Saccharomyces cerevisiae S288C: one gene and its partner. Changing the gene in region 1 together with any one later gene gives a genetic interaction. Each region holds a gene or a part of one and is shown in the gene's direction. Other genes may lie near its edges. The genes, in order: YPR202W and PRP3.

Region 1 (3,501 bases):
ATGGCTTCAAATAATTTTGAACTATCCCTGGCAATTGCTATTTCCTTATATGGTAACAATAGCAAGCAAGCAATAGCTGCAACATTTGGGCCGTTGCTAGAAGTTCCAATTTTATTGATTTTGGCAATAGTCGCGAGGATCCTTAAACCATATTATATATGGAACAATAGAAATTAATTGTTGACTCACCAAAAAATTACTTGGGCACCAATGAATAATACCACTTATAACTCTATATTAATCCAAGTTCACCCTAAAAACAGATAAAATTGACAATTTTTTTTGAAGGACAACTGATTGATCTTAGTGATGGTTAGGATGAAAAAATGGGTTTGTTCACGCCATCCCGCATCATTCAAAAACTCCGCACAGTTTTGGAGTTCAGTAAGAAGGGGACGTAATCTTACTATTGCATTTTTGAAAGTCTAATGAACTCAAGTGGCAAACTGTGTTACGTACATCACTTCTAAATACAATGTCTTTGAATTAGAAACTCGCTGAAAAATTATTATTGCGTATTGTATGTCATTTTTGAGATTTTCCTGCAAGATTAGTAATGCTTTAAACCCAAGTATTGTAAGCCCGATGGAATAGCACATGGTGATGGTACAACAATGGCTTCATAGATCATTCGCATAAAAATGGAATTCGTGCATCTAGTGTCTAATTAAAATTAACGTAACGAAATAGGACAAGATAAGCTTATGTCGTAGTACCCGCATAAGTACGTGTAGCTGCCATTTTATAATGCATGAAGTTGAAGTCATTAGGATGAAGAGGTGACATATAATGTTTCAAAATGGTGCCAGTATAAGTTTGGGATATCATGGAGCGGCATTCGTTTTAGTAAATGACTGTATTGTATAGTACTGTCTGTATGATTATCAGTTGAGTTGGTGAGATGAAGTAAAGATATTATAGCATCTGCGTTAATGTGTATTGCTATTATAGTATAGCATAGTGGTGTTATATAGTGGCACCGGGAATGAGTATAGGGAGTAAGAAGATCTTGTAGTTGCGTTTGAATAGCGACATGAGGACACGTCTTATGTCGCCATTATTAGGCTGAAATTGCAAGCATAAACTATTCGATATCAAAGATACCACAAGACCATGTATGCATAATTATAGAATACCAAGGTGGGGAGAGATTAAAAACGCACCATAGCAGCTGCGCGAGTATATTCTGCTATTAAATTGGAATTCACTGAAAGGTGATGAGAATGCAAATAGCTATGATACCTTATAGTGGTTAATTTGTATGAAAACGTTATAAAGCATGAAGTTGAGAGTATTGATATGATAATGGAGGTTCTGTGATCAATTTTAGAAAATTAAAATGTGGATGATCATGAATGTTATGGGTAAATGGCACAAGTAATAGACAATTTAATGAATAGGGTGTTATGTTTACGATATTTCAATTATGTTAATATTTAGTATGTTTATATCTTCTCATTAATGAATGGTTAATTTTTATGTTTAGGTGATTTTGGTGGTGATTTTGTGGTTATATTGACATAAGTGTGTATAAATTGAGTGGTTAGTATATGGTGCAGTTATACAATATTTGGAACCGCAAAATGAGATGTAGATATTAAAATGTGGATAATCATGGGCTTTATGGGTGAATGGCACAGGGTATAGACCGCTGAGGCAAGTGCCGTGCATAATGATGTGAGTGCATCTAGTACTGATTTAGTGAGAATGGGGCCATGGTGTGGAATATGAAAGTAGGGTAAGTTTGAGATGGTATATACTGTAGCATCCGTGTGCGTATGACATATCAGTAGAAGTGAAGGTGAGTGTGGCAAGTGGCGGTGGTGGTAGTGGTGGTATAGAGTGGTAGGCTCCTTTACTTCGAAGCGTGAGGTCGTATACCTAATAAGGAAATGTAATTTATAACTTTTTATTATATTGGTCTTTTCGAGAGCGGAAGAAGTTGTAGGCTAAGCGCAGGCTAAGCGTAGGTCCATGTTTAAAGTATCCAAGAGAATATCCACGAAGCGGCTGAGCAACGAACAGAATCCTGGTTCTCCTCGACTAAGCAGATAGTTAAGATACTGTGCACCATGGAAATTGAAAACGAACGTACGTACCGACTACTTTATTTTTGCAGGCCGGAAATCAAGCGATGAATGAGACATCCTTCTGTTTTCTATGTTGTGCTTGAAGGGGACAGACAGTCGCTTATCTTAGTGAGATTGCTTACTAACTGAATTTACTTTGCTGCTGCTAGAGATTTGCACCTGCATAGCGCAGATTCTGCATCTTCTCAATAGCTTAATTATTACATTCTCAGATGATGATAAGACGGAAACTGGACAATCTTTTGTTTATATTGATGGATTTCTTGTCAAAAAGCATAACAATCAACATACTATTGTTAATTTCGAAACTTACAAAAATAAAATGAAAGTTTCCGATAGGCGTAAGTTTGAAAAAGCAAACTTTGACGAGTTTGAGTCGGCTCTAAATAACAAAAACGACTTGGTACATTGTCCCTCAATAACTTTATTTGAATCGATCCCCACGGAAGTGCGGTCATTCTACGAAGACGAAAAGTCTGGCCTAATCAAAGTGGTAAAATTCAGAACTGGTGCAATGGATAGGAAAAGGTCTTTTGAAAAAATTGTCATTTCCGTCATGGTCGGGAAAAATGTACAAAAGTTCCTGACATTTGTTGAAGACGAACCAGATTTCCAGGGCGGACCAATCCCTTCAAAGTATCTTATTCCCAAGAAAATCAACTTGATGGTCTACACGTTGTTTCAAGTGCATACTTTGAAATTCAATAGAAAGGATTACGATACCCTTTCTCTTTTTTACCTCAACAGAGGATACTATAATGAGTTGAGTTTTCCGTGTCCTGGAACGTTGTCACGAAATAGCGAGTGCCAGGCCGAACGACAGCTCTACGATGCGTACTTTCACTGACTTTGTTTCTGGCGCACCTATTGTAAGGAGTCTTCAGAAAAGCACCATAAGGAAATATGGGTACAATTTGGCACCCCACATGTTTTTGTTACTACACGTAGATGAGCTATCGATTTTTTCTGCATACCAAGCAAGTTTACCTGGCGAAAAGAAAGTCGACACAGAGCGGCTGAAGCGTGATCTATGCCCACGTAAACCCATTGAGATAAAGTACTTTTCACAGATATGTAACGATATGATGAACAAAAAGGACCGATTGGGTGATGTTTTGCATGTGTGCTGCCCAAGTTGAGAAGAGATACTAACAAAATGACCGCGGCTCTCAAAAATAATTGACGAGCTTACGGTGATACGCTTACCGTTATCCAGAGCTACAGCGCAACGTATACGTCGACGATACAACAAGAACGGTTCATCGGAGCCTCGACTAAAGACGCTTGACGGACTCACTTCCGAGCGCTGGATTCAATGGTTAGGCCTTGAAAGCGACTACCATTGTTCATTCTCTAGTACTCGGAATGCGGAAGACGTAGTGGCAGGTGAGGCGGCGAGTTCAGATCATCA
Region 2 (4,024 bases), on another chromosome or scaffold:
TCCTACTGCTACCGATATAAACTCAAGTGCGAGTGCGTCGAGATCACGTTCTCCGCAAATCAAGTTCGCGTCGAGTGTCAAGAATGTAGATGGTAATGCTGCACTGGGTGCTATTAAATCTAGGCACTCGCTAGACAGCCCAGGGGACCAGCAACAACAACATCATCATCACCATCATCGTGACACAGATCAGTTGTCCGTTCCAGGCCTTCCCCATTTGGCACCTTCAAAGTCATATAGTGTGAGTTCTGGTAATAAGGATTCATCTTTGAGGAAAGTCAGTAGCTCATCTTCGCTCAGAAAAGTAAAATCTAATGATTCGAACTCTGGTAAACGTATTAAAAAACCGGTCGTAACTTCAGCACACTTGAAACCAAGCTCAGGCGGTGGTGGTTTATTCTCTTTTTTTAAGAGTAAATCGAGATCCCCGTCATCTTTCAGAAAGGAAGATGAGAGTAAAAATACGCCTAAGCGTGGCGGATTGTTTGGGTTCGGAAGGCTGTAGTTGGTCTTACGTTCTTATGTGTTTATTCGATATAATTCTATAACATTTTTATGACTTTGTGCCTTTATGCATAACATGTATTGTACATATTAATCGACAAAAATGACATTCAATACCCTACACTAGTAATTAATAATGCTGCAATTCCATCATCGCATTCTCACCTAAAAGAAATGTGGACAGTGTTCATTATAAGCTGGGTTCCTATTCGTATTTCCGGCAATAATGCGTGCTAAGTGAGTTTGTAAAATCGTTAAAATGAGAATCAATGTACAAGGTTAGTATCACGTCAATTCTTTCAAAGCTTTATATTATTAGGTATACCTCCTTTGAAAGTAGCACCAGTCAAGATAATGGATCTTTATCCATAGTTATTGCAATTACTTTCAAAGCAATGCGGTTGTTATTGTTGCAAAAATATTGCAATATTAACTTCTTAGGAATGGTGAATTGAATTGTGTCGTAACATACGCTGTAACCCTTGTCTTTTGGGTTTAGAATGCGGAAATGAAAAACGTATAGAACATGATGAATCTACGAAGTGCAAGGTCCACGAAACAAGACAGTATCGTTGCAATTCAGTGAAATCCTTAAAATGGTTCAAATATAGATACTGGCTATCTTTTTCATTATATTGGCTTCTTTGACCTGTCACAATTATAGGGTTCAACAGTTATCTTTGGAGGAAGAAGCTGCTCATTGATGAGAAACAGGATTTATGGAAGAGAAGTCACATTCGTGAAAGGCACATTCATCAAGAAATTTTATTTTTTCTTTTGTGCTTCCCAAATTTACTGCCATACTACTCCATTTTTTGACAGCTTATTCATTTAAGAATACGACCTAACAATAGTATTCCGGAACTTTTTAACAATATCAATGACGACTAAGAGAAAATGACAACTGCAGGGAACAGATTTTAGATTTGAAAAAGCCATGACATGATACTACTATGTTCTAGATGTGTTTTATCTCCTTTTCGGTAGCATTTTTTTGGTAATTATCTAGTACGAGAGGTGACAAAATCTGTTGTTCTCCTTTAGGTTGTCGTAGTCAACTTTTTTTGTAGGAAAATTCTTGCAAGTACCCTGAAGTTATGTATGATGCAAGTCTATTGATTGTAATCAATAAGTTTTTCTAGCTCTGGCTTGCTATGTAACGTAGTGAACAATCAATGTTATCGAAAAAGTTTAGGTAAAATTCTCGAAAATGAATGCTGATAATTACTTTTTCTTCACTCCCCAATTTTGGATAATACTTGGCAGCTATATTCGCGAAACAGGAAGGTTAAAAACTGCTTCTCCAATGAAACAGTAGTTAACATATCCATTTAGCTAGAGATACTGCTTTTGGCCTCTGGACAGGCACTGTGAATTGTTCTTATATGTTCTAAAGTAAAGAGCCATGACTCAAAGAAAGTTTCTTGACTATGTTAATTTTTTTAGCATACAAATTTTAATATTATTCACATCTGCGTTTTTCTGACTGGATCCCGCACTGATCAATAACAAGAAATAGTCCTAGTAAAGTATTAGAATGCCAGATGACGTAAAACAATCAAAAAGACTCACAGAAAACATCAGGCGATCTATTGAATTGGCTTGAAAAAATGCCCCCAAGAAATACCTATGAAAAAGGTAATCCGAAACGCCAAAATAGTCCATATTATAAGCCAAGTTTCTTACGGCGTGAAGAAACTACCAATGATGAGGAGAAGTTTCAGGGCCATGGTCTGAAAACCGAACTTCACTCAGCGTTAAAGTCTTCAAATTTGAATCTTATCCGAAGAACTTATCAAACTGGTGAAAATCCCTATCTTAGTGATCCACACGATCGAGGCTCATCGAGCAGATTTAACAGGCGTTATGAACGGGGTCTGAAGTTTTACCAAAAGGGAGAAATCAGTAAAAGAATTGCCCAAGAAAGAACATTACAAAAACAGCAGGAGGAGGAAGAATTAAAAAGAAAGTTAAAACAAGAAGAAGACGAGAAAGATAAAAGAAAATTAATTGAGTCAGGTGATTTACCCAATTTAGAGTTACATGAGGATAAGTTCCTATTAGATTTGTCAAAGTTCAAGATATACTATGATAATAATCATGGCTATGAATGGTGGGACACGGCTTATTTAGATGAAAAGGGTGAGTTGATGGAAAAATATGACATGAATGGCACATCGCCTGCCGAAGAAAAGCTAGCAGAAGATATTGATGAAGTAGACGATGATGATGATGATGAGCACCCATCTATAAGATATGTAGCACATCCCTTACCTGAAAAGATCAACGAGGCAAAAGTATCAATCAAAGCATATCTAACGCAACATGAAAGGAAAAGATTAAGGAGAAATAGAAGGAAAATGGCAAGAGAAGCACGGGAGATAAAAATTAAGTTAGGACTATTACCTAAGCCTGAACCGAAAGTTAAACTAAGCAACATGATGAGTGTTTTCGAGAATGATCAAAACATAACGGACCCAACTGCCTGGGAAAAAGTAGTGAAAGACCAAGTGGACCTCAGGAAGAGAAAACATCTGGAAGAAAACGAAAGAAGACATGAAGATGCTATTAAAAGAAGGAAAGAAGCAGTCAATATGAACGTTGAAAAGCCGACAGTATACCATTGTAAGGTGTTCCAGTTCAAAAACTTACAGAACCCAAAAATAAGATTCAAGTTGAAAATGAATAGTAAAGAACTATCACTAAAGGGTTTATGCCTCCGTATACGTGATGACGGACCAGGAATAATTATAGTCGTGGGTAACGAAAAATCATGCAAATTTTATGAGAATTTGGTGATGAAGAGGATAAAATGGAATGAAGATTTTGAGTTGCACACAAACACTGGGGATATAAAAATGGACATGCATAATAATTCAATATCAAAAACTTGGGAAGGCTATTTACAAGATTGTAAATTCAAAGGCTGGTTTATGAAAGTATGCAATGATCAGGATTCTTTATTACGTACGCTGGGTCAGTTTGATTCAGAGCATTTTTATTCACCTGTTCAAACGTGATATCGGTGTCTACAAAATGATACGCTTTGTTTCATATTAAATATTATTTTACTGTATGTCGCCCAGAATAATGATTTTTTTAGCACAAAAACATTCCAAAATATAAAAAGAAAATGATTTTATATGATAGATGTACTTCAAGGAAATCGACAATTAAAAGAATCATTCTTCGTAATGAATATATGAGCATATGTCTATAAATCAACAGTAAATATACAAACTCTTTATCCTTTTCTTGGTTTTAGGTATTTACCGATGTTTTGAGATGATATCAGCCAAATCTCAAACCTTCCCTGTCAAGCACTTGCCTGTCAAATTGGATCAAATAAACGGTTCGTTGACTATGTCCGCCTTGGGGCATTCGATGTGCTGTCACGCCACATGGAAATCCAGCATTGAAAAGGAATCCTTTGATAATGCCGCAAACGAAGTACTCACAAGAAACGTTCTCACCTGGGATAAATTGGGTTAAAGTGGGGAAGTTATCTACTATCATATAT

Evidence for each region.
Region 2: mutations in YPR202W (region 1) and PRP3 together harm fitness more than expected from each alone (negative genetic interaction), as found in Saccharomyces cerevisiae (one large-scale study listed by BioGRID).

The regions. Positions count from the first base shown.
Region 1 is NC_001148.4:940,960-944,460, forward strand, and holds YPR202W (uncharacterized protein), read left to right. Parts: upstream 1-2,072; coding exon 2,073-2,091; intron 2,092-2,239; coding exon 2,240-2,937; downstream 2,938-3,501. Other genes in the region: ARR3 (Arr3p), read left to right, coding at 1-177; YPR203W (uncharacterized protein), read left to right, coding at 2,921-3,229.
Region 2 is NC_001136.10:1,403,945-1,407,968, reverse strand, and holds PRP3 (U4/U6-U5 snRNP complex subunit PRP3), read left to right. Parts: upstream 1-2,114; coding exon 2,115-3,524; downstream 3,525-4,024. Other genes in the region: JIP4 (Jip4p), read left to right, coding at 1-505; TRAPP subunit TRS31, read right to left, coding at 3,796-4,024.